7 linked regions of the Mus musculus genome follow. The protein of the gene in region 1 purifies or fractionates together with the protein of each later gene. This does not show direct contact. Links are inferred from orthologs where the notes say so. Each region holds a gene or a part of one and is shown in the gene's direction. Other genes may lie near its edges. The genes, in order: Dvl2, Vangl2, Vangl1, Peli2, Dact1, Itch and Csnk1d.

What was found.
Region 2: the proteins of Dvl2 (region 1) and Vangl2 purify together in Homo sapiens (affinity purification with mass spectrometry; 4 studies listed by BioGRID and IntAct, with this or other methods). This does not show direct contact. The link is inferred for Mus musculus from reciprocal best matches to the Homo sapiens genes DVL2 and VANGL2.
Region 3: the proteins of Dvl2 (region 1) and Vangl1 purify together in Homo sapiens (affinity purification with mass spectrometry; 4 studies listed by BioGRID and IntAct, with this or other methods). This does not show direct contact. The link is inferred for Mus musculus from reciprocal best matches to the Homo sapiens genes DVL2 and VANGL1.
Region 4: the proteins of Dvl2 (region 1) and Peli2 purify together in Homo sapiens (affinity purification with western blotting; 3 studies listed by BioGRID, with this or other methods). This does not show direct contact. The link is inferred for Mus musculus from reciprocal best matches to the Homo sapiens genes DVL2 and PELI2.
Region 5: the proteins of Dvl2 (region 1) and Dact1 purify together in Homo sapiens (affinity purification with western blotting; 3 studies listed by BioGRID and IntAct, with this or other methods). This does not show direct contact. The link is inferred for Mus musculus from reciprocal best matches to the Homo sapiens genes DVL2 and DACT1.
Region 6: the proteins of Dvl2 (region 1) and Itch purify together in Homo sapiens (affinity purification with western blotting; 4 studies listed by BioGRID and IntAct, with this or other methods). This does not show direct contact. The link is inferred for Mus musculus from reciprocal best matches to the Homo sapiens genes DVL2 and ITCH.
Region 7: the proteins of Dvl2 (region 1) and Csnk1d purify together in Homo sapiens (affinity purification with mass spectrometry; 3 studies listed by BioGRID and IntAct, with this or other methods). This does not show direct contact. The link is inferred for Mus musculus from reciprocal best matches to the Homo sapiens genes DVL2 and CSNK1D.

What each region holds. Positions count from the first base shown.
Region 1 is NC_000077.6:70,003,592-70,007,091, forward strand, and holds part of Dvl2 (segment polarity protein dishevelled homolog DVL-2), read left to right. Parts: intron 1-1,213; coding exon 1,214-1,283; intron 1,284-1,563; coding exon 1,564-1,709; intron 1,710-1,845; coding exon 1,846-1,955; intron 1,956-2,070; coding exon 2,071-2,206; intron 2,207-2,346; coding exon 2,347-2,437; intron 2,438-2,544; coding exon 2,545-2,614; intron 2,615-2,699; coding exon 2,700-2,839; intron 2,840-2,922; coding exon 2,923-2,999; intron 3,000-3,500.
Region 2 is NC_000067.6:172,003,296-172,006,795, reverse strand, and holds part of Vangl2 (vang-like protein 2), read left to right. Parts: intron 1-474; coding exon 475-706; intron 707-1,933; coding exon 1,934-2,194; 3' UTR 2,195-3,500. UniProt on the Homo sapiens protein: Involved in the control of early morphogenesis and patterning of both axial midline structures and the development of neural plate. Plays a role in the regulation of planar cell polarity, particularly in the orientation of stereociliary bundles in the cochlea.
Region 3 is NC_000069.6:102,163,194-102,166,693, reverse strand, and holds part of Vangl1 (vang-like protein 1), read left to right. Parts: intron 1-882; coding exon of another isoform or gene 883-921; intron 922-1,206; coding exon 1,207-1,339; intron 1,340-3,160; coding exon 3,161-3,395; intron 3,396-3,500.
Region 4 is NC_000080.6:48,119,585-48,123,668, forward strand, and holds the start of Peli2 (E3 ubiquitin-protein ligase pellino homolog 2), read left to right. Parts: upstream 1-1,284; 5' UTR 1,285-1,572; coding exon 1,573-1,649; intron 1,650-1,817; exon of another isoform or gene 1,818-2,293; intron 2,294-2,322; exon of another isoform or gene 2,323-2,574; intron 2,575-4,084. UniProt on the Homo sapiens protein: E3 ubiquitin ligase catalyzing the covalent attachment of ubiquitin moieties onto substrate proteins. Involved in the TLR and IL-1 signaling pathways via interaction with the complex containing IRAK kinases and TRAF6.
Region 5 is NC_000078.6:71,316,384-71,319,883, forward strand, and holds part of Dact1 (dapper homolog 1), read left to right. Parts: intron 1-676; coding exon of another isoform or gene 677-787; coding exon 788-2,511; 3' UTR 2,512-3,500.
Region 6 is NC_000068.7:155,223,918-155,227,355, forward strand, and holds the end of Itch (E3 ubiquitin-protein ligase Itchy), read left to right. Parts: intron 1-449; coding exon 450-549; 3' UTR 550-2,938; downstream 2,939-3,438. UniProt on the Homo sapiens protein: Acts as an Acts as an E3 ubiquitin-protein ligase which accepts ubiquitin from an E2 ubiquitin-conjugating enzyme in the form of a thioester and then directly transfers the ubiquitin to targeted substrates.
Region 7 is NC_000077.6:120,988,534-120,992,652, reverse strand, and holds the start of Csnk1d (casein kinase I isoform delta), read left to right. Parts: upstream 1-1,319; 5' UTR 1,320-1,642; coding exon 1,643-1,718; intron 1,719-4,119. UniProt on the Homo sapiens protein: Essential serine/threonine-protein kinase that regulates diverse cellular growth and survival processes including Wnt signaling, DNA repair and circadian rhythms. It can phosphorylate a large number of proteins.

The sequences.
Region 1 (3,500 bases):
CAGATTGCTTAGTGAGGTGAGGTGGCCCGGAATTGGGAAGCCCAGCTTCCTCGCTCCATGGGAGCGTTCCACACGTGGACTGTTATTGTTGCATGTAAGGGTGATTTTTTACCCAGAAAAGCCACACATTTGGGTGGCTCTGCTTGTGAATTAGAGAGAACTCAAAGGCAGCAGGTTCCGTGAGGACCAGAGGCTTTTATGGGACAGATGTGTAGGACAGAGATGGTTAGGCGGCCAGCCAGGCTCTTAAATTAGATATTTGGAGCAGTTGTGGGAACTGTCCCAAAGGGACTTTGGAGTGGTACTTTGAGGTTTGGATCAAATGGGAAGAAGTCTTTGGAGTGGCATTGTGCCTCTAAGGATGAGTTGGGGTAGTGGTAAATGAGAGAGTCTAGAATTTTTATTTATTTATTTGTGTATAAAAGCAAGTTACTTCACTGTGAAAGCAGAGGAGCTGGGCATGGTGATGCATGCTGGCTGAGTGGCATAGCCAAGTTTGGTGACATATGCCTTTAATACCAGGATGGAGAGGCAGAGTTAGGCAGCTCTCTGTGAGTTTGAAGCCAGCCTGGTCGTCGCTACCGCTGCTGAAAAAAAAAAGGGCAGAAGTCTATAGACAGTTGGCTTAGAGGATGCCGCTGTGTTCTGTTCTTAGCACTAGCACCCACTGGTGGCTCCTGACTCCCTGTAACTAGCTCCAGGGGAGATAATATTCTCCTGTCCTCTGCAAATACCCTCATGTGACAGCCATGCACACAGACATGTACATATACATTAGGGGAAAAGCAGACGACGTGTCAGTCAGGGCAGCAAGTCACCATGCTTGGGCAGGATGGAGATGGGGAGAGACTTGGAATGAGATTTGGAATGGGAGTGACTAGTTTAGCTTTACTAATCTCCCCCATCCCCGTGTTTGTCCCACCCCCACCCCCAGATGGGGTTTCTCTGTGGAGCCCTGGCTGTCCTGGTTCTCTCTGTAAACTAGGCTGGCCTCAAACTCAGATCACCTGCCTCTGCTTTCCAGAGTGCTGGCATTAAAGGCATGCACCACCACCGCCCATCTAGGGTGTGTGTGTGTGTGTGGTGTGTGTGTGTGTGCGCGCAAGAGAAACCCTTGCTCACTGAGTGCCTCTTGCCTCGGCCTCCCAAGTGTTAGTTGAAGGTGTACCCCATCACACCTGGCACCTTACTAATCACTCTGCTCTCTCCGCAGGGTGGTGAAGGAAGAGATCTCCGATGACAATGCCCGCCTACCTTGCTTCAATGGAAGGGTTGTCTCCTGGGTAAGGGGACTCATTACTGAGCTGCTTCCAACCTCAGTCTGTCTCTGCAGCCTCCCCCCTGCTCAGTCGCGGGTGGCCTGGCTTCCCTCTTCTCTAATGTGGATACAGTGAGCACTCCTCGGCCTCCTCTTCCTATAGCCTCCCGTACTGGATTGTTTTTTCTGGCCTCTTCACCCAGGTCTCCAGGACCCTGTGTCCTTCTTTTCTGGTCCTTTTCCTTAGTTTCTTCTCGTACACCGCTCCCCAGCAGAACCATGTTTTCTTACGTGCTCTCTTCTAGCTTGTGTCGTCAGATACCCCACAGCCTGAGGTGGCTCCCCCAGCCCATGAGTCTCGGACAGAACTGGTTCCTCCGCCTCCACCCTTACCCCCTTTGCCACCAGAAAGGACCAGTGGAATTGGGGACTCAAGGCCTCCATCCTTCCAGTGAGTCCTTTATATTCTTGAGTCCAGGGGATGGGAGCGAAGAGGGAATTCAGTCTAGACCTCTTGAGAGAGGGGGACTGAGGTTCCGGTGCTCTGTCCGACTGACTTTGGTTGGAAACTCTCTCTACCTGTGTAGCCCTAATGTATCCAGCAGCCATGAAAATCTAGAGCCTGAGACAGAGACCGAATCTGTCGTATCACTGAGGCGAGACCGACCTAGGAGGAGAGACAGCAGTGAACATGGCGGTGAGGGGATGGACCCTGGAGGCAGGGTAGACTGAGCTGGGCAGACAGGCAAGCCTTAGCATGCTGGGTATGAAGAAGGGGAGGCCTGGCTCCTGAGTCTCTTGTTTATACACAGCTGGTGGCCACAGGCCTGGTGGCCCCTCGAGGCTGGAGCGCCACCTGGCTGGCTACGAGAGCTCTTCCACCCTCATGACCAGTGAGCTGGAGAGTACCAGCCTAGGAGACTCGGATGAGGATGACACCATGAGTAGGTATGGCTGCACACTTCCCTCCCTGTTCCCTCCCTCCTCCCCCCTCCTCCCCTCCCCCTCCCCCCCAGCCAGTCTTCTTGTTTCATGTGGCTCCCTGACCACTTCCACCTCCAAATGCTATGCTTCTCAATTGCTATCAGGTTCAGCAGCTCCACTGAGCAGAGCAGTGCCTCCCGCCTCCTCAAGCGCCACCGAAGGCGAAGGAAGCAGCGGCCGCCACGCATGGAGAGGGTGAGGGTTCTTTTGGGATGAAGTGGGCTCTGGTTGAAACACAAGCTTGTGGCTTCTCTCTCTGTTGACGGGGAGCAGTTCACACCTTTCATGTCTCCCCGCTGTAGACCTCATCCTTCAGCAGTGTCACCGATTCCACAATGTCTCTCAACATCATCACGGTCACGCTCAACATGGGTATGGAGGGTCCTGACGGGGAGAAGGGAAGGAGAGAGAGGGGCTTGGGGTTTCTGGGGCTCAGTCATATGGCCCCCCTCCACAGAGAAGTACAACTTCCTGGGCATCTCCATTGTGGGCCAAAGTAACGAGCGTGGTGATGGGGGCATCTACATCGGCTCCATCATGAAAGGGGGCGCGGTGGCTGCGGACGGGCGGATCGAGCCTGGAGACATGCTTTTGCAGGTGCGCTGACGGCCTGGCTGCTGGCTGGGGCGGATGCTCTGCCCCTCCCACACTGCCCATGACCCACCACCCCTTCCCTTCAGGTAAATGATATGAACTTTGAGAACATGAGCAACGACGATGCTGTACGAGTGCTGAGAGACATCGTGCACAAGCCAGGGTGAGTGCGGCTGGCCCCAGGCCTCTTGGGCTTAAGCCTGTTTACCTTTGTTTTGCAATTTTTATAAAGACGTGAGGCCAGGCATGGTGGTGCATGCCTTTAAACATGTTATTTGAGGCACAGTTGGGCTGAGTGTGAGGCAGCCTGGTCTGCAGAGTGAGTTTCAGTCCATCCGGGTCTACATAGCGAGAAAACAAAAACCAAACAAAACAAGGGCTGTAGAGATGGCTCAGCAGTTAAGAACACTGTTTGCTCTTCCAGAGATCCTGAGTTCAATTCCCAGCAGCCACATGGTGGCTCACAACCATTTGTAATGAGATCTGATGCCCTCTTCTGGTGTGTCTGAAGAGACTGACAGTGTACTCACGTACATAAAAAAAAACAAATACGTCTTTCAAAAGAGAACAAAACCCACAAATTGCAAATCTCCCTGGCATGTCACTCCACACTAGAGCATGAAGCAGATGTGGGTGAGCACCTGAGAAGAGGCCACCCACTGTG
Region 2 (3,500 bases), on another chromosome or scaffold:
TATGTATTAAAATTTTTTTTTTTTTTGGTTTTTTTGAGACAGGGTTTCTCTGTATAGCCCTGGCTGTCCTGGAACTCACTTTGTAGACCAGGCTGGCCTCGAACTCAGAAATCCTCCTGCCTCTGCCTCCCGAGTGCTGGGATTAAAGTTTTACATCGTGTGGTGCGGAGTCTTTTCCTAGGTCTGCTGGGATACGTGGCCTTCTCTGCAGCTCAGTGCCTGAGTGTCATTCTGGATTTGATGCTAGGCTCGTTCACTTTAAGTCCCTAGTCTGGTACCGCTGAGTACGACTGTGTCTTGCTGCTTATGAGGAAAGAGCCCCCTGTGTCTCTTAGCGCTTGGCTCCTCACGGACTTCCGTTACTTCGGGCAGAGTACAGAGGCCTGACCTGACTCTGGCTGCAGCAGTCAGAGCCAGTGGGTAGAGGGTAGGATGAGCAGTGAGCACCTGCTCCAGAGACTACCTGTCCCCCAGGCTCGTGGTGGCTGTGGAGGAGGCCTTCACGCACATTAAGCGGCTGCAGGAAGAGGAGCAGAAGAACCCCAGGGAGGTGATGGACCCCCGGGAAGCAGCCCAAGCGATCTTTGCATCCATGGCTCGTGCCATGCAGAAGTACCTTCGCACCACCAAACAGCAGCCTTACCATACCATGGAGAGCATCCTTCAGCACCTGGAGTTCTGCATTACCCACGACATGACGCCCAAGGTAGGCCTGCTGCTTCCAGCCCTTCCTCTCTGTCCAGCTTCTTGTCTCTGTTGGTCACGGCTGTTTCTCCTTCCCATTCTTTGCCTCATTTTTTTTTAAAGATTTATTTGCTTTATGTATATGAGTTCACTGTAGCTGTTCAGGTGTTTGTGAGCCTTCGTGTGGTTGTTGGGAATTGGATTTTGTAGGACGTCTGCTTGCTCCATCCTTGCTTGCTCACTCTGTCCCTGCTCCCCCTGGCCCAAAGAATTATAAATAAGTACACTGCAGCTGTCTTCTGACGCACCAGAAGAGGGTGTCAGATCTCATTACAGATGGTTGTGAGCCACTGCGTGGTTGCTGGGAATTGAACTCTGGACCTTCGGAAGAGCAGTCAGTGCTCTCAACCGCTGAGCCATCTCGCCAGCCCTATCTTTACCTCTTCTTGAGAATTTCCTTTCCTGTCCCCATTCCATCTGTCTTGTCTGTGCAGAGTGGAAGAGGCATGGGGAGACTTTGGAACTATTCGGGGGATTTCAGAGGCCTCTTTCTCATTTTTATAAGGCCCTAGAATTTCTACCTTCCAAGTCTTACACCTTTACCTTGCTGACCCCTTCATCCCCAAAGGAAGATTTTGCCTCTGCTGACTTTTATCGATTGGCTTACCTCAACCTCGTTGCCAGCTTCCTATAATGGCGCTCTCGGAGCCTTCCTTGTTGAGTGGGTGATAAAGAGACTGGGAATGTAGCTCAGTGGTAGATCAGGCCTGAATTCTTGATTTCATTTACCAGCAAAACAGTGTGTGTGCACATGGATGTACACACACACACACACACACACACACACACACACACACACACACAGAGTGTTGCACTTGAAGCTTTTCTTGGCCCACTTCCCTCTTAGTGTAGGCCTACATGGTTCTAGTCATATCAACTGTATGAAAGGGAAGGAAGAAGGAAGAATGAGGTTCAAGTAGCTCTAGCCACAGCCTGGTGCAAGGAACAGGGTGAAGGATAGGGGTGAATTCCAGTCCTGACTGGAGCTGTATCACTTCTGTGCATGTCATTGTCCCCATCAATATATTAGGAGTCTCTGGCTGTCTTCTGCACTCACATTTGAAGATACCAGTTCATGGGTATAGAATGAGCTTAGAAACACCCTAGCTATCTTAGAAAGCTGTGTCACAGAGGATGAAGGGTGGGTGGGTGCACGAGATGCCCCAACAGTATCTTCTCCCTTCCTCAGGCCTTCCTGGAGCGATATTTGGCTGCTGGACCCACCATCCAGTACCACAAGGAACGTTGGCTGGCCAAACAGTGGACCTTGGTGAGCGAGGAGCCGGTGACCAATGGGCTTAAGGATGGCATCGTGTTCCTCTTGAAGCGCCAGGACTTCAGCTTGGTAGTGAGCACCAAGAAGGTGCCCTTCTTCAAACTCTCTGAGGAATTTGTGGATCCCAAGTCACATAAGTTCGTCATGCGGCTGCAGTCGGAGACCTCTGTGTGACTTTTGCAGCAGCCGCGGAGGAGGGATGTGGGGGGTTCCTGCGGAGTGGGAGGGGCTTGGTTCTCTGGCCCTGACACATTTCTGCCAGTCCTACTTCCTCTTGCTCTTGTTTGTTTTTGTTTTTTGTTTTTTGTTTTTTTTTTTACTTGAATTAACTTATCCTGTACCCAGTCTCCCCTCTTCCTCAGTTTTTCCCATCTGGAAATCTGGAGATAAATCTTGTTAACAATACCTGGGAACCACCCTGCCCTCCAATTTTGTATCACTCCAGGCCCTGCAGGAAACAGTGCCTCACAACTCTCCCATCCCCCCACCCCATTCTTCCCCCGCAAACCTTCCCTGGATGGAAGCATTCAGGGCCTTCCGGATTCTACCCTTGCCTCCTGAGCTCCAACTTAGAAATGTACATTCTTAGAGCCGCGCTCTCTAGTGGCCCCTGATAGAGTTTCTCTTGGGGGCACAGCTCTGACCCTAGAGGACCATGGTGCCAAACTCCTGTGGGACAACAGCTAATCCTATCCTCGGTCCCTACGCTTAGCCCTGAGTCCCTGGGCAAGGATGCACCTGTGACATAATCCCAGAATTAGGATTCTCTCTGCAGTCTTGCTCGCCAGTGTTACAGCTGTGCTTCCTGGTACACACACACACACACACACACACACACGGACACACACGGACACGGACACACACACACAGCACCTCACAGATACACACACTCACACACACACACACACACACACACACGGACACACACACGGACACGGACACGGACACGGACACACACACACACACACGGACACGGACACACACACGGACACACAGCACCTCACAGATACACACACACACATACACACACACACACACACACACACACAGAAACATAGAAGAAGGGGAAGTGCAGTCTTCTACTCAGGAGTCTTTACTGCTGTTTCTGACTTGTATGGTCATGTGATCATAGGCAAACAGAGGTGGAACCTCTCTGACCACTTTACCAGGGCTGTGGGGAAGGTGTAATGTGTCTTTCTTAGACAACTCCCGAGAGGAAGGGCAGGATAGACCCCTGAGGTTGGAGAGACCCTTGTCACTGACCTCACTTGTCCCTCTGAACCCACTGACCTGTTCTTCCCCACCCTTCCCCATGAAGGATACATGTTGACTTCTTAAGGACTCCATGACATGCAGACCCTGACCAACCTTGGGGTCGAAGACATTTTGTGTTTTGCGCCAGCTACCACAGTCCTGCTGAATTCGGGCTCCGAGACCTGTGGCCTCGTCTCTTATGGGGAGGGGCCAGGAACTCCTTCTC
Region 3 (3,500 bases), on another chromosome or scaffold:
TAAATGTAGACAAACATTTTTTTCCGGGGGAATGTCAGTTACAGTCTATATATGTGTATATATATATCAAGTTCATCCACTTGGAGATTTTGGTATTGGAAACTGTAGCTGTGTTTCCTGCCTCCTGCTGGGAACACTTTAGATTGAAAGTCCTCGGAAAGGAATGTTTTTCAAAGTCTGAGCTGTTTACCAAAAGACTGCGATGCTCTCAGGGCTTTCGGCCTAGAATACTCCACCCTGGCCTAGAAACGTATTCAGCCTAGAGAGTCAGCTATCTGGGAGCTCCTCTCTAGTCTCTCAGTCCTGGCCAGGAATGGCAACCAGAAGCTGGAGGCAGACTCACCAAGTCAGAGGCCAGTTTCATTCAGGGTGTCAGATGCTTAAGTGTGAGAAACAGGACTCCCTCTTACGTCTTGCTGGGCACCTGGGCTAAGACAAGAGCTTTGCAGACTCCCAGAGAGATTCATGTTGTCAGTAAGACATCTGGTTTACATAGGTATCAGTTTTTGGTATTAGTGTTCAAATATTTTTTTTTTTTTTAAATTTGGCTATGTGAGGGGTATGACTGGTAAGCCTCACCCTTGATTGGGAAACTTAGTTCTCTAAGGCACCCAGAAGAAAGCATTAGGTCCTGGCTGTGTCTTTGTGATAAGCTAAGTTGGGTCATGCTCAGGGTGATACGGGACTTGTAGGTCGATTCACAGATGGGGCGGGGCGTATTGCGGTTGCTGGGCTTTGGTGTTGGGGGAGATAGCACTCGGCTTAGCTTGTGTTCCTGTGTGTGGTCACTGTCAGTGTCCCTTGACTTCTCTTTTCTCTGTCTGTCCTTGTTCTCCCATCCTGCCCACTCTCTCTCATTGTCCGCTGTATGCGATGTCCCAGCTGCCCTTATGGCCAAACTGAAACTTTGTGTAGCAGATGGTAAGTGACCTCTTCGGCACGCTCCGGCGGGTGTTGTTCTTGGCCGGCGTTTTCAGGGGTGAGCAGTTGGCAGCCCCTTCAGAGTTCTTTTTCCATTTCCCCATCACACTGGGGTTAGATCTCCTGGCTGCCATGAGCGTGGAGTACTGCGCAGGCCCAGCCAGGGGTGCTCCGTAGGGGCGTGGGTGGGCGCTAACTAGCAGACCACAGACCCTGGTGCTGCTTCTCGGTCCCATTTCCTGGCGTTTACCGTTAAAGCTATCTACCTTTCTCCTTTCATCAAAGGGCCTAGTAATAACGCCACTGGTCAGTCCCGAGCCATGATTGCTGCAGCAGCTCGGCGCAGAGACTCCAGCCACAACGAGTTGTATTATGAAGAGGCCGAACACGAACGCAGGGTGAAGAAGCGGAGAGCAAGGTCTGTGACCCTTGCACGCCTGGGCCCTCCTCCCGCTGAACATTTTATTCTTACTTAAAAAAAAAAATTTTTTTTAACTTCCAGAATTAATTTTCTGTTTGTACGCATGCCCTGGATGACTGTTTTCAGACCACGTTACTCTCACGTTTCTCAGACTTTGTGTGTAATCACCACCAGACATACCTCTAAACACCCATCACAGGTCCTGGGCCCACTTACAAGGCTTACCACGTGGTCTGTGGGCCTAAGCCTGGGCCTGGGAATCTGCATTCAGAGCAGATTTCCAGGGGGCATCTGTGGCTGCCCTTGGAGGGGGCAAGACCCACCCACACCATTTCCCATGTGAATGGAAGGTGACAAAGGTGGCTTCCCTTAAGCCTGTCACCTCATTCTTCCCCTTCCTGAGTTGCTGGGGGGCTGGGGGGAGGGGTAAGTGGAACAAGGGGACTAAAGCTCTGCTTGCTTGCTTTTCTTTTCTTTTTCTTTCCTTTTCTTCTCTTTTCTTGTCTTTTCTCTTCTTTCTTTCTTTTTTTGTAGCCTAACCAGGCCTTAAACTCTCTGTATAGCTGAGGATGATATTGAACTTCTTTTTTAAAACCTTTTTAAACATCTATGTGTGTGTGTGTGTGTGTATGTACATGTGTACATGTGTGTACATGTATGTGTGCATGTACATGTATGTGTGCCTGTACATATGCCACAGTGAATATATGGAGAGCATGGCTTTTGGGGATTGGTTCTTTGTCTTCTCTCACACGAGTTCTGGGGGGTCAAATTCGGGTTGTGAGGCTTGGCTGCAAGCACCTTTGCCCTGAGCCATCTTGTCAGCTTGGCTTCTCGTGTGGCCTCCACCTGCTGAGTGCTGGATCAGGAGCGTGTGCCACCACATGAGGTGCTGGGGATTTGTCCCAGGTCTCTGTGGTACTGGGCAAGCCCTCTGCCAACTAAAGCTACCCAAGCTCTGGCTCTTTAGCAGCTGTGTCTGCACGCTCGCTTTCGCTTTCCCGATGGAGTGTGAACAGAAGTCTTTATTTCGCTTTTTAAAAAATTGGATATTTTATTTATTTACATTTCAAATGCTATCCCCTTTCCTGATTCCCCCAACTCAGAAGCCCCCTATCCCTTCCCCCTCCTCCTACTTCTATGAGGGTGTGCCCCCACCCACCCACCCACTCCCACCTCCCTGCCCTTGCATTCCTTTACACTGGGGCATTGAGCTTTCATAGGACCAAGGGCCTCTCCTCCCATTGATGCATAACAAGGCCATCCTCTGCTACATACACAGCTGAAGCCACGGGTCCCTCCATGTGTACTCCTTGGTTGGTGGTTTAGTCCCTGGGAGCTCTGGAGGGGGAGGGGGATCTGGCTGGTTGATATTATTGTTCTTGCTATGTGGTTGCAAACCTCTTCAGTTCCTTCAGTCCTTTCTCTAACTCCTCCATTGGGGACCCTGTGATCATCAGTTCAATGCTTGGCTGCAAGCATCTGCTTCTGTATATGTCAGGCTCGGGCAGAGCTTCTCAGGAGACACCTTTTATTGAAGAAATCAAAGCACAGGTTAAAGTGAGCTTTCTGAGCTCATTATTGGCAGAACTGGGAGGCCCAGCGATACCACCCACCCACTCCCATCTCATTTCTGCTGTTGCTTCTCTTCTCCCAGGCTCTTTCCATCTCCTAGAGGGATACAGTATGACAGAGCCTTGGGGAAGTTGGTGGTAGGCCAGGGTGCTTCAGTCAATAAAGGCCCTCTGCATCTTATGGGACTGTCCCCAGACCCTGCAGTGGGCGCTGCCTTGCTGACTGTCCCGAATCTCCTTCCAGACTGGTAGTGGCTGTGGAGGAAGCCTTCATCCATATCCAGCGTCTCCAGGCTGAGGAGCAGCAGAAGTCTCCCGGAGAGGTGATGGACCCCAGAGAGGCAGCCCAGGCCATCTTCCCCTCCATGGCCAGGGCACTGCAGAAGTACCTGCGCACCACACGGCAGCAGCACTACCACAGCATGGAGAGTATCCTGCAGCACCTGGCCTTCTGCATCACCAACAGCATGACCCCCAAGGTGCGCTGCTAGGTCGGGGCTGGGGCAGAAATGTCCCTGGGTTTGGCCGGTCACATGACATCCCATGTCTCCACTGTTGCTCACCACGTTATTTAAGACTTACTT
Region 4 (4,084 bases), on another chromosome or scaffold:
ACAGAGGATTTGTACAATAAGCCGGATAGCTAGTTGTCTTTAGTCTAAGAATAGACTTTCTGTAATTAGCGGAAATAAGGTAATCGTCTAATAAAGTTTATTTTTGGCTCATCAATAGTGTGGCTTTTGTTATTCTGGAGTAATTTATCTCCAAAGCCTCAATTAAAAGAAGAAAAGCCAGTTACTAACTGAAGTAAAATTACAGAAAGCATCATGTCACTACAGTAATAGCCTGTCAGAGAGCGATACATGCACGGCGCTGAGCAGTAGAATGGAAGGTTACTCATGCAATTATTTCTTTTTTAACTCCTTACTTAGAGTCATAGCCTAAACGTGTGTGTATGTGTGTGTGTGTGTGTGTGTGTGTGTGTGTGTGTGTGCGCGCGCGCGCGCGCGCGGGCACACACACACACACACTCTCGATGTTTATACATTGGGTAGCTTTTGCAGTATTTATTTCTTTAAATATTTAACAGTCTGGAAAGGCAGTGACAGGCAATAATATGTAGCGTCTCTAGCATGTTGCAAGGGCTTAATAAATGCTAGAATAATAAATTCCTCTATGATGAAAAACAGCAGTCAGTAAAACTATCACAGCCTACAATATTTTAAAGACACAGCACCATAAGAAAGCATAAAATACAAACAGTGCCTTGATTAATCCATGGAAATAAAGGAACATTTGTCTTCATTTAAAAAAAAAAAATCCACCTAGGTAATTTCCTTTTAAATTCCCCAGGGGGTTGAAAGAAGGGACAGAGATGTGAATAAGGGATTAAAAGTAACTTTTAACTTTTCTTTTTCCCCTTTCCCTCTCCTCCCTCCATCTCTCTCTCTCTTTTCTCACCCCCCCCCCACGTTCTTTCTCCTTTCTCTTGATACATGAAATGGTGGGGAGCCCTTCAATTAGCGCCCCCCCCATGGGCAGATTCTTTCTCTTTTTAAGCCCCCCTCTCAAGGGCTTGGCTTTGAAAGCAGACACCCCCAGATCAGTGCGCTCAGCATGGTGAGCTCGGAGGTGGGGGGTGGGCAGTATGCTTGGCTTTCACGCAAGCGGGGTCCGGATCCCCGGGCTGAGGACGAAGACCCCCACGCTCCAACTTTTCGGAGGAAGAGAGGAGAAAAACAGAGCTGCCCCTTTAAGGGCTTGCCTTCCCCTTTACTCTATGTTTACATAACACGGGGCGCTCGCGGGCCGCGGGGGCTGGCGGGCGGGCGGGCGGGGGCCGCGGGAGCGCGGAGACGCGGGCGGCGGCGCGGCCGTCCCACCTGCCCAGCCCGCTCAGCCCCCCGGCGGCGCGCGCTCCTCCTCCCGCGGGGCTCTGGTCGCCGCTCGCTTTCCGTGCCGGGTCCCGCTCGTAGCGGCCAACGTACGGATAGCTCCGGGGAAGCCGGCGGGCGACGCGCACAGCCACGACGGAGCAGCCGCGGGACTGGCCGCCCAGCGCCCCGTTCGCCGCCGTGCCGTTCCCCGGCGCGCTCACCCCGTTTTCGGGATGGGAGTGTAGTGGCGGCGCGGACTCGGCGGGGATCGCGGCGGAGGCGGCAGCGGCGGCGGCCGAGCGCGGCTCCATGTTTTCCCCGGGCCAGGAGGAACCCAGCGCCCCCAACAAGGAGCCGGTGAAATACGGGGAGCTGGTGGTCCTGGGGTGAGTTGGGGACGCGGGCGGCGGGGCGTCGCGGAGGGAGAGGGATGCGCTCCTGAGGGCCCGGGTCCCCGGGGTGCTCGTTGCCGCGGCCCGGAGGGCGCTCCTGCACCACGCGGGGTCGCTCGGTGAAGCCCGGAGCCAGTGGCTACTGGGGACTTCTCTTTCCCGACGACCGCGAACGCGGAGCCCTGTCTCCGAGCCCAGAGCCCAGTCCGCGGGGGTTACGCATTGTTCCAGTCTGTGACCCGGGCCGCTGGTTGGCCTCCGCTTTTTGCGCCGGGAGTGAGCTCGGCCGAGGGCCTGGACCGGGTCCTGGTTTTCCCGGGTCCTCTCAACAACGGTTCCCGGATCTCCCGGGTTTCCATTCTCGAGTCTCCGCACCCCTTGATCTCCTTACCCCTCGGGCTCCTGCACCCCTCGGGCCCCGGCCTTGCCGATGCCCTGCCAGCGGCGGGGAGCTCGCCACCCTGCCCTCCTCGGCTCCCACTCCGCTGGTGAAAATCACATTTTGAAGATAGTAATTATCTACAATCGTTAAAACGGCAGCAATTAGAGACTTCATCTACTTCCTGAGTTTCCGTGTGACATTTTCTATTGTTTACCCTTAATAAACCAGGAGGGAGGCTTCGCAGGATTAAAGCAGGGTAAAGTGGGCAATGAAAAGGGTGTGGGTGGGGGGAGGTGGAAAGTGCAGGAAACTCTTGGAGCTGGAGCAACTTGGGTAGTGCTGCAGGGAAAGGATTGGTTTCCCTTTGGATGTGCCGCTCCAGGGAACCCGCGCTTTTGTCCTCTGTTGAAAGATCTGTATTCAGACCCACGCGGGTGTTGATGGGTGGGCTTAGAGGCACGCGAGGAAGCCCCCCTCCTCACCCCTAAGCAGAGGCTCTGGGAACTTTGAGAAACGTGTTTTGATTACTACCTTGAAGTAAGTGCCGACTTAATTTTTTTTTAAAGACTCATCTAAAGTTTCCTAGCCTTCAGTTTGTTGCAAGCCTTTCTGTGTGTGTGTGTGGGGGGGGGAAGGTAGTACTGGAAAGATCACTGCTTATTTGGAAGCTCAGCAGATGAGCGCCTTCCGCACCTGCATGGGAATTGCATGCACTTAAGAGACAGATGTCAGAGTTCGCTGGGAAGAGGAGGGGTGGGGAGGTGGGTGGGGGGAAGCCACAGTTTAGTCTGTCTTATGTAACTTCAGCTCAGCCTAATTTTGTGGAGTTTGGTTTTGTTTATGTGGCTGGCTTCAGAGTATGCTTAACACTGTGAATTTGACAAAGAAGATTAACTTACGCCAGAGCCATTTCATTATTTCCTTTTGAGGCAATCTGTTGAGACGTTTCGGAGCAGTGTGGAATAAACCCGGAGAGGTTTGTGTTCATAGCTAAAAGTTTAGGACACTCCAAAGCCAGGAAAAGAATTTACACCCTGGACAGTTGTAATTTAGTGTCTCTGTAAACACCGTTGCCTGTAGCACCTGCTTCATCCTTCACTAAAGCTTTTCCTGGATCCATGATGGCTTAGTGTTTCTAACCTAGTAGCTGGAGGCAGGCAGGGCAGTTACCTGTGCTACCACATGGCAACACTGTTTGGACATTGGGTATCATCCAGTAGCCACAGAACACTTCCATTTTAATGTAGAACAAGACATAAGTAGAAACCCGAGTAAGTAAGTAGCAAATGATGTTTGGTGTTGTCACTTCTTCAACTGAAGTTGGTTAACAGTGGAGCCCTGCCGTGGTGGGGGGCTGGGGGGGAGATGTTGCTTCTTGCCAGCTTAAGGAAGACCTTTAAGGAAGAAAAATGGGAGTAGCAGATGGTTTTGTGTACGCCTGAATTGTGGCTGCTGCCCCCTCCCCTTCTTTCTTTCAGATTTCTGACTCTTGCAACATTGAGCACACTAAAGAGTACCTGGAAAGTAGTGAACTAGTTAGATTTTCACTAAGTCTTACACAGTTCTGCCCACTGGACTTGAGAGCATGTTGTCCCCTTTAAAATAGCAAGTGCATTTCAATGAAAAAAAAAAAAGTGCCATTACTGTGCATGCCTGGTCCTTTGGGACATCAATATTGGTGAGCATAGACTGTCTAGGAAATTTTCTTGATGAAATTATTCTTGAGGCTAAAGCTGCTCACTGCCTCTGATATTGTTAAAATATTTATTTTGTTTCATTGGAAAGTACAGTGACTTTATTTTAACTGCTGGGTGATTGTCCTTTCTTCTGTGTTCTGAATCACATGGTAAAATGTCACATAGGAAGTTTGGATAGCAAACTGTAAAGTTGATTCAGGCCTCGATGATCTAAGTACGGGTGATTCTTGTCATAGGTTGCATAGTAGGAGAGAATGCCATGTGGGATTGTAGTGGGGTTGTCACTTTCTGTCCAGTTAGTGGAGTTTAAATTATTTGTTAATTCTAACCAGTTACCGTGTCATAGTCCC
Region 5 (3,500 bases), on another chromosome or scaffold:
TCCAGAGAATCTAGTCCTCTTCTCACCTCTGTGGGCACGGCACTCAGGTGCACTAACACATAAGCAAAGTTAAAAATAAGAGCACTCCTTTAAAAAAGCCTTGATATGTTTTGTTGATTTTTTTCCCACAAAGGATAGTTATGTTTAAATAGATTACATTTTGTATTTTTTTTTGTTTGTTTTTAAAAAAATACAAAAATGGCCACAGCAAGTGTCTTAAATATTTTAAAGAGAAACCAGAGGAAGGAGAGTAGACCAGAAAAAGAAAACAAAAAGTTCTAAGGTGCAGTTATTGGAAACAGATCACTTATCACACTGGAAGGGTACCGTTAGGATTTTGATGTGCTTAATGTCAAGAGTTTGTTTGCATAAAATTTTATCCTGATTGATATCATGATTTTCACTAAGCTTCATGAAGTGTTCCCTTACATTATTCAGTAGTTTCAGAGCATTATGAATGGCTATTTTTTTTTTTTTTTTGGTCAAAATTCTTGAATAGTGCTTGCTGTCATTCAGTCATCCATGTGCTTCATGTAAGCTTGCAGAGGAACCAGTGTGGACTAGTTCTCGATCCTTTGCTATTCTGTCTCCATCCAGTTCACCTTAGTAAACTCTGGCCAGAGTCGAAGTGGCTCTACCGATTCATTTCTTCAGTGTATCTTTACATGTTTTTCAGATCTCATAGGATGGTTGGAATGTAAAGGCGGCCCCTGTGAAGACCAGGCCTCAGGGACAGTGTGCAGTTCCCCCTCCACACCACAATTTAATTCCCTTGATGTCATTGCAGATGTGAATCCTAAATACCAGTGTGATCTTGTGTCTAAAAACGGGAATGACGTATATCGCTACCCCAGTCCACTTCATGCTGTGGCTGTGCAGAGCCCAATGTTTCTCCTTTGTCTGACGGGCAACACTCTGAGGGAAGAGGAGGGGCTTGGGAGCCATGCCAGCGACATCTGCATTGGATCTGAACTGAACGCCACCAAAACAGACAATTCCCTGCCATCTCCAAGCAGTTTGTGGTCCGCTTCCCATCCTGCATCCAGTAAGAAAATGGATGGGTATATTTTGAGCCTCGTGCAGAAGAAAACACACCCTGTAAGGACCAATAAACCTAGAACCAGTGTGAACGCTGACCCTACCAAGGGCCTTCTGAGGAATGGAAGTGTGTGTGTCAGGGCCCCTAGTGGCGTCCCACCGGGCAGTAGTGTGAACTTTAAGAATACAAAACAGATGTGTTTGCCCGCTGGGGGAATAACCTCTTTGGAAAACGGGCCATTCTCCCCTCCTAAGCAGAGGTCCAAAGACTCAAAGACAGACCAGTTAGAAAGCAAGAGGTTGGCTCTGCCGGAGAGCTGCTCGGCAGGCGCCGCCATGGAACCCCAAAGCAAGCATGTGCCCAAAGCCGCCAAGGCAGCCTCTCAAGAGCTCACAAGGTGTCAAGCCGGGCTGGGGGAATCCATGAAGGAAAGCAATCAGGCCTCCGCTGTTTCTCCTAAAACAAGTCCTGGCAGAGGCCCTGTCGCCCCCGCAGAGAGCAAAGCCCTGCAGCTCCCGAAAAAGATGTCGCAGAAGAACAGCCTCCAGGCTGTGCCCGCGCTGGACAGGCCGGCCTTGGACTTCAAAAGCGAGGGCTCATCTCAAAGCCTCGAGGAAGGGCATCTGGTGAAAGCTCAGTTCATTCCGGGGCAGCAGGCGGCCGCCAGGCCTCACCGTGCACACAGGAACCCGGGTGTCGCAAGGAGCGCCACCTTGAAGGCCCGCGGCCAGGCAGCCATGGAACACGGCCTGCCCACCGTCAGGGAGAAACCGCGGGCAGCAGGCAAGAAGTGCCGTTTCCCAGACGACTCGGATACAAATAAGAAATTCAGGAAGACCTCCGCCAAGGGCCGGCGCAGTGGCGGGCTGCAGGACGCTGGCCTTCCCGGTAGGGCCCTGGGCACCGGCGGCCATCGGGCGGGTAGCAGGGCGCACGCGCATGGCCGGGAGCCCGTGGTGGCCAAACCGAAGCACAAGCGAACCGACTACCGGCGGTGGAAATCGTCAGCCGAGGTCTCCTACGAAGAAGCCCTGCGGAGGGCCCGGAGGGCTCGCAGGGAGCACGGGGCTGCCTACCGGGTGGCTGTCGCCCTGCCTTACGCCAGCCCCTATGCCTACGTGCCCAGCGACTCCGAGTACTCGGCGGAGTGCGAGTCGCTCTTCCACTCCACGGTGGTGGACACCAGCGAGGACGAGCAGAGCAACTACACCACCAACTGCTTCGGCGACAGCGAGTCCAGCGTGAGCGAAGGCGACTTCGTGGGCGAGAGCACCACCACCAGCGACTCAGAGGAGAGCGGGGGTTTAATCTGGTCCCAGTTTGTCCAGACTCTCCCGATTCAAACGGTCACGGCCCCAGACCTCCACACCCGTCCCACAAAAACCTTTGTCAAAATCAAGGCTTCGCACAACCTCAAGAAGAAGATCCTCCGTTTCCGCTCTGGCTCTTTGAAACTGATGACTACCGTTTGAGTAGCTGATGTAGCGAGTGTCTTCTCCTCCCCCTAGTCTCTGAGAAAAAGAAAAAGGTGTTGTCTTAATATTTGTGTCATACTTAAATGGAATACTTTCCTTTCACTAGGATAAACCCAAGATAAATTATGTCTCGCGGTCATGTATGGACGCTAGTGCCTTTAATGGAAGGTGAAGGATGTATCTCTAGTTAGAAGTGAATATTGAGGTCTTAGTGGTGGTGATAGTGAATGCATTTTGATTATCAGATGTTTCGTCCGAGTGTCTGGCCAAGTACAGGTGTGTGATGTTCAAGTTTTATTTGGATGAGACCTTTTGTTTCCAAGGTTCGTGGATAAAATTTTTAAGCCGTGAACTCGCTCCTTGATCCTTTAGGGCTTTGTCCCTGAAAGGGCTTTCCGGTTGAGGGGCATTGCATACAATTGTGTAGAGTAGGTAGAAAAAACAAACAAACAAACAAAACAGTCATTGCTTTCTGTAAATTTTTTACTATAGACAACACTCTCAGATGTCTCTCCATCCTATTTTCTTCTTAGAAGTACACTTTTTACTGGATTTAGAACTTAGTAGACCAGACTTTTAATCTGGAGGTGGTAAACTGGATAGGGAGACTGATAGGACCTTAAAAGGATTCACAAAAACCTTTGCCACCTGTAGTGCCTCCGCCTTCGTTACAGTAGCCCTTTCATGGGCCATATATCCAGCAGTTTTTGATGCCTTTCTATCTCTCTGCTCCTAATTTGTAGCCAATACAACTGTTTGTCCCTTAGAGGGCTTGTCTTTGGGATAAAGTGTTGGTCCTTTGGTGCAAAGAAATTCACCCTTACTGGGCTTGACTCCAAGCCCAGAATTGCTCTCACCAAGCACTGGCCTGAACAGTAGTGCAGTTCAACCCTCACCGGACCGCTGACTTATCTGGAAGGGCATTACATTTTTTAAAAAAGCTTTTGGTAAACAGTATTGTGTAAAATAGAGTTTTTAAAATACTG
Region 6 (3,438 bases), on another chromosome or scaffold:
GTTGTCCATCTGCCTCTGTCTCTTGAGTGCTGGGATTAAAGGCTTGCATCACCACAGCTGGACTATCATTTCTTATTCTAACATGATATACCTAAAACCGCCTTCAAAATCTGAAGTGTTTCATGTATGGCCATTTACAGTAAGATTGCTGACCACTGGTCTACAGTGGGTAGTTGGGACATCATGAGAAGACTGGCATTTCCTGAGGGTCTGCTAAGCACCTGCATGGTGCTGTGTGCTTGTTTCTAAGTCTACTACAGGGGTGGGTATTGCTCTCCCAGTTGACCAGAGAAGACACTGGCATGAATCTTGGAAAGGTAAAAGGCAGTTGCTTGAAGGCTGCGTGATTCAAGGGCACATCATCAGACCTCTGAGGTGCAGCTGTGGGGCACTGCCTGTGTGCATCTTTGTATCTTTCCTTTTCTCAAGCCAACAATTCTTTCTTTCAGTTTTAACCGCCTGGACCTCCCACCTTACAAGAGCTATGAGCAACTGAAGGAAAAGCTGTTATTTGCCATTGAAGAAACTGAAGGATTTGGACAAGAGTAATTGTTTAGACCTTAAGCCACCAGAGGCCAGGGACTTGTCTGCAGTGTCTGTCCCCTTCCTTCTCTGCCTGTTGCACATCTTATTGTAAACTTGGACTGTGACTAGAGAGTTACCTGAGAGTAAGTAAATTAATGTTATCGTTGAGATCTTCCAGTCATTCTGGATTTCTACTCAACGTTTCCAGAAAGCAGATCTACAAACTGTAGTCAGAAACTTAACATGAGATTTAACACAGCGAGGAAATTTCCCTCGTCTTATTCCACTAGATTGTTCCCTTAACAACAGTTTGCTGTATGTCCGAAGTCTCACTTGGGCATAGGTCTCTTAGTGGGTATTGTAAAGGATTCTGCAGGGACATCTCGGAAACGCAATACACAAGGTCTTCCTGTAAAGCCTCGCTCAGAGGTGCAAGCTTAACTCAGTGTCTGGGCACATGAGCAGCTGCTGCTTGTGCTCTCCGCTCGTCCCAGCCTGGCCTGACTGTTGTTTTTCATTCCTGGAGCATGAATCAGTGCACCATTCTGATGCTATTCCTGGAAGTGATGCAGGACTTGCATTTTTCTACAAAGTAGTTTTGTCTATTTGAATTCAGGGAAAACTTGGTCCCCGCCAACATATGACCATACCTCTCTTCATTCAGTTTGTAATTGTTCTATTGCCTTGCAAATACTAAACTTTACAAACAGTATCAGCACTGTGGTTCCTTCACGTTTTTAGAAATTAACCTAGAATTAAAATAAGTTCAGATGAATTCATCTAAGATCATTCTTGATTTTTTTAAATCCTACACATAAATTGAAGCTTTATGGTGTTGAAGTAATCCAACACCTTAGTTACATTTCATTTTTGCTAAACTATTCAAGTTGCAACCATTTCCTAACACAAATGGAGGTCAGTGGTGCAGACTCTGCAGTCACAACAGCGTCCAGCAGCCACACAGCTGCGCTGTCTTCACACTCCACTCCTGACACAGGAGCAGCCGTGTCTACCCTCTTACATGGTCCTGATCTACAATATTTTTCTCTCCCCTAAAAATTGTAGATTTCCCTTTTCTTTCCATGACTCCTTTATCTTAGGCTGCTCCTTTAGTAACTGATGAATGCACTTTGACCTTCTCTGTAGGTCATTTACCTTGGCTTAGCATTAGACTGTGAGGATGGTTGCTGCCCAGACTTTATGGGCAGCAAGATGAAACCTCAGCCAGGTGAGTCCCTATTGTAGCCAAATCCCAAAATTAGCCTTATTTCTCTAATGGGGACCTTGAAATGTGTTGGTGGCATAGCATAAAGCCAAGAACACCAAGTGTGACAAACCCCTGTCCCATAGGAAAGAAAGTGTTTCTGTGTCCCTAGCTGCTCATCCTGTTCTCATCCTGGGACAGTTTGAACTCGTGCAGCTGTGCTCCTTAACACTGCCATCCTCAGCAGAGACGTGACAGACGGGTTGCCTCATGAAGAAGTGATCAGTGAAGGGAGAGCTCGGCTCCTCCCCAGCCCTCTTTTTACCCTTATACCACAAGAAATACATGTCATCTCTAGAAGCCCTAGTTCTTTCCAAAGTAGGAAATCTCTGCCTTTTTGTTGGTAGGGTTAAAAAAAAATGTATATGCTAATTGCTTTGTCTTACAGAGCGAATGTCTGCCAACTATCCATTCACTACATAGGCCTGAACTTTGGTAATAAATGGCTATAAATATTAAGCCTTCTACAAAGACTTCCTATTGAATCCAATTCTTGTACTAAAACATAGTTATCTACCATATTCACTAGAGATTTATGAGATTAAATTAAGAGATAATGTAAGAAAATAGACTTTGTTGATTCTGCATAATGCTTCATGATTCATTTAGGGACCTAGAAATATTATGTGAAAATGTATAAATATCATCCAAAAGGCTTTCTGCCCTATATTTTTAAAATACAGAAGTTATATTTGAAGTAGTCCTGGCCCTAGTTCTATAGGGCTTGGCTATTTAATATTTTTATGGAAGAAACGTTTAGTTCTGGAAAAGGTAAATGCTTGTATATATTTTTGCAGCCCTGGAGTCTCCCAACTCCATTTCTTCCTTTAATTTAATTGATCACATGTATATGTCTTCCCTGCTGTGTTAGAAAAACGGGGGCTGGATATCCCAGGAGTCAGAGCGTATATAAGACAATGCACCTAAACAGCAGGCACATTGACCAGATGCTCTCAAATTTTGGTCCAAAATGAGTATTTGGGAATAGATTTATTGTGAATGTTTAATTAGCGATTTTCCTTAAATCTGGATGGACTAAGTTGCTTTTAAGACCTTTTTCTCTGTAAGCATCGTAAATGCTAATCAACCTGTTAAGTTTTTTTTTTTCTTACTGCATGTTACATTGAAATAAAAACAGAGTAAAATGAGCATTTGCCTTTTCGTCTGCTCTTTTGGTGGGTTCCACAAGGGTCCAGATGGAAGAGCTCGGGGCTCTCGTCCAATGGAGTGATAGAGCTGACAGTTGTGAACTCCTTCGCCTTCTACCATCTTCATGTGCAGAATTCAGTTTCCTAAGACTTAGAGTAACTGTTAAAATTGGGGTGCAGCCAGGCGTGGTGGCGCACGCCTTTAATCCCAGCACTCGGGAGGCAGAGGCAGGTGGATTTCTGAGTTCGAGGCCAGCCTGGTCTACAAAGTGAGTTCCAGGACAGCCAGGACTATACAGAGAAACCCTTGTCTTGGGAGGAAAAAATTGGGGTGCTGACTCCTCACCCAGGGGTTGGCTTATCTGCCCACAGAGCTCTCACCCAGCCCTCTCTGCCACGTTTTACTTATCTGGTTAAATTACTTGACATGTTATCAGGGTAATATTTTTGCCTGTTTGGGATCTAAATTTCTTTAAGATTCACTAATTCTTTGCAGTACTG
Region 7 (4,119 bases), about 51 Mb from region 1:
AGAGGGAAGACCGCTAGGCAAAGATCAGGCCCGAGGTTGGTAAGAGAGAGGTTAGGCCAGATACCAGGTTTGCTGTTTTCAGTTCAATATAGGGGCTTCTCAGATGAAGTTAGGTATTGTTCATCAACAGAAAAAAAATTATACTTGAATTCTGTCAGTAAGATTATTTTTACTAGTTTGGCCGCATCTGGCTCTGACTCCTGGACTAAAAAGCTAGGCAGTTCCCATACCTGCCGCTCAGTGACCACTGGTTTCAGTTTGCCTTGTGGTGTCTTCTGTCTCCGGCTGTGTAATGCTCCCCAACCTGACTGCCAACTGTGTGCAGGCAGGCACTGCAGGACCACCAAAAGGAAGGGTGGTGGAGCTGGGAGACTAGAAGACATGTCAGCTCCACGTGCTTCTGCAGGGCTGCTGAGTTGTCATGCAGCGTGATACCCTGTGCAGATGCTACGGGTGCTAGCTGACCAAATAGAAGCATTACACTCATCTGTGACTCTCGTGTTTCTGGCTGGGTGAGAGTGGGCCTAGAAAAGCATCTATTTGGAAGGTTGTCCCCTCCTGGTTAGGGGGCACCTCCTGTGTGGTAGCTCCTCCAGAGTCCCTCCTCAGTGGTCAGAATGGACAGCCAAGTCTTGGAAGCTGGCCGTCAGCCTGAACTTCAGAATTCATGTTTGTGTTTGCCAGGGGAACATGCAGATCCAATGCAGACCAGATAAAAATGTTGACTCTCTCTCCAGGCAGACAGCCCTGGAGAGCGATCAGAGTCTGAGACATACCCTCTACACCCTCAGTGAACTCAACACTGACCTTCCTGCCCACAGTGGGTCCCAGGAAGACCTCTTTTCTTCCACCCTTGTGTGCAAGAAGCTGGCAGGCAGCAGCAGGCACGTTTTGCACCATTCAAAGCCCACAACTGGTGATTCCTACAAAAGCTAACTGTCTACCTGTGATCTCAGAGCTAGGCCTGGACCGCCCTCTCTGCCCTTTTCCCCTATCTGTAAAGGGCCTTTCCCGGGGTCTACAAAAGGAACTGCTATTCGGCTTCTCTCTGCCTGTTTAGGGGCAGGGTCGCTATAGCCCAGGCTGGTCTCGAACTCCCAAGGGCTGGAACTACAGGCATTTCTTACCACACATGGCTTAGCTTCCTCGGACTTCTATTGGAGACAAATGGGAAGACCAAAGAGACCAGCTGGAGTCATCCTGCGGGAACGGTGGACACTGGGACAGAGAAACAGGCCTGGTTGCGACTGCGCAATCCATCAAGTAGCCAAGCCCCGCCCCCGAGCACGGTGGCCCCGCCCCCTTGGGTTGCTAGGGGAAGTGACGTCACAGCGCGATGGCGGCGGCTCCTTTAGGCAGCTGAAGGGGGATTTAGGCCCGGAAGATCCGAGTCCATCCGCGGCGGGGAGAGGGCGAGCGGGGCCGGCAAGGGCCGGAGCAGCGGCGGCGGCGCTCGGACTGTCCCATCCGCCCCGTATTGAGGCGCTGAGAGCGACGGGGCGACCGGAAAGCGATGGTGAAAGCGGGGCCGTGAGGGGGGCGGAGTCGGACCGGACCCGCAGTAGCGGCAGCAGCGGCGCCGCCTCCCGGAGCGCAGACCCAGGAAGCGGCCGGGCGGGCAGTAGCGAGCCGCACCGCTGCCATGGAGCTGAGGGTCGGGAACAGGTACCGACTGGGCCGCAAGATCGGCAGCGGCTCCTTCGGAGACATCTATCTCGGTGAGGCCCGGCGCCATCGAGCGCCCGGGGGCCTTGCGGATCGGCGGGCGGGGTCCCCGGCAGGCCGAGGCCTGCGGAGGGCCGGAGTGGACGTTCGGCATCCCCGCAGCCGAGGGCCCGGGCACCGGCCTCGGCCAGACACCAACGGCCGCTGTGCGAGCGCGGCCGGGGGGCTGGGCGCGGCGCGGCGGGTCGGGGTGGGGTGCGGGGAAGGGCTGGAAGGACAGGCCGGTCTTGGGGACTGCAGGCCGGGGGGCAGAGCTCGGAGCGTGTCTGGGGATGGTCGGGGACCCGGGAGAGGAAGAAGGAGGCCTAGAGGCGGGGGCCAGCGGGCCTCGGTGGTGGGGTGTCAGAGGGCGTGGGAAAAGGACTGGGGGCGGGGGCCGGGGGGGGACAGCGGGGAGGGGGAGGGGAGAGCGGGGCAGGGGAGGGCAGCAGGCTGGGGGTGGGGCCCGGAGGGGGCAGGGCCTGGGCCGGGCGTCAGCATCCTCCCCCACCTAAGGTCACCGCAGTAAACAAAGGCCATGCTCTGCTCCGCCAAGGGTCTGGTGCTGTTCCTCAGCTCTGCAGTGGCGTCCTGGATGTTTTCATGTGTGGGGGAGAAATGTCAAAATAAGCCAGATGTAGTGTGGAGGTGGGGAGTGTCCCGGTCAGAAATGGGGGAAACGACCGGCTGATTTCTGAGGGTTCTTGGAGCAGTCTGGGCCTGCTCTTTTCCACAATGGCATCTCCACTTAGCTGACCCGCTAAAGGGATCACCCATAGCCTCCTGGCTGCCACTCTCCTCCAAATCAGGACTGAAAATGTTCCCTGTGCCTGGCCTGAAAGGCCTTGGTTTGGTTGGGGTCTTGAGGATATGTTGAGCATCTAAGTTGACTACTGGACACCCGGAAATCAACAGGAATGAAGTTTTGATGAATGCAGATGCATTCAATGTCGAGATGTAGGCAGAACAGAGGGGAGAGAAGTGGTGTGGAAGGAAGTTCTCATGATGGCTCTCAGAATTCTCAAGGTAGACATGAGGGTTGCTTAGGGTTGCTTAAACCTGATAGTTGGGGATTTTTAAATACAAACTTCCCCCTGCATTTCTTAGTAGAATTATGTTATTCCAAAGCCCCTTGAGAACTTGGAGCCTTCTGGTGGTGAACTTCCTGTTAGAGGTAACCATATTCTGTTGAGCAGTAGCCCATCCCTGCATTTGTTTGGCTGTTGTACCTCTAGTGGAGAGTCAGGAAGAAGCTGTGCTTTGGGCCGGCCTTCTAGTCTTCCCAAGCTTATGAACTTGCACTCTGACTCCTCACAGGACCTTGATAGCTGGTGGTGTGGGGTGAACAGCTGGCCCATTTGGGTAGTTCAGAAGTATTTATGGTGCCTGGTTAGCATACAGGGTAAGCCTGCTATGTGCCACATGAGTGCCTTTGAATCCGAACTTCTTGCCAGAGTGGTCTGATGAGTAAAATATGCTTTAGAGATACTTAGGATTTGCTTATTTAAATATTTATAACCAAGTAGAGAGCCAGATGCCTTCTCGGCAATGTTTGGGAGTCAAAGTGCTGGGTAAATTGGAGCTGTTTGGCGTATTTATAGAACAATAGATTTTGGCAGAAGTTTAACCTCAGGATATAGGAGCTAGACTGAAAACCAATCCATTAGCCACCCTTTCATGGGCATCAGAAAATAGGTATTTTGAAACTTTTTGTTCCCTGAGATCTTGCCAAAAGGTTTTGTGCTTTCTGAAGATTGATTATAACAACCAGTTGTGCTATGGTAGTCATGTGTCATTCAGAGATGGGAACCTTTCTCCAGGAGAGTGCAAGCTGTGTCTGGGGTTGCAGTTTACTTAGTCACATCTCTACTGCCCCACCTGGTTCCCCACCTCCATCCAGAGCATGGGGCAGGATATGAGGGACAAGACAAAGGCTGAAAGACTGTTTTGAACCCGCAGATGCATATCCTGCTCAGGGTCTTCCACAAGTGGGTGGTTGGGGGCTGGCTTAGACACAGGCTGGGCACAGCGTTTGATCACATGAACTAACCTTTTCCAGAAAGGTTTAATTTGGTGACTCCTCTGTTGTGCTCCAAGATGGGCACTGGATCCTAGGGTTAGAATCACTGGCTTATCTGTCTGTCATGGTGTGAGTTTTGTTGTTGTTGTTTTGTTTAAGACATGGTCTCACTATGTAGCCCTGGCTGGCCTTGAACTCAGAGATCTGCCTTCTGAGTGCCAACATGCTAGGCCTACAGTGTGCCTTTTGTCAGGGGATTAAGCACTGCCAGTCTTTCTCTGCTTAGCTCTCAGCCCTACTGTCCTTTCAAGATACCCCTTTGGGGAACTGAATGTGAAATGAGTGACTCAGAATAAGATAGGCTAGGAAAGCAGGTCTGCAGGACGGTTTGGAGA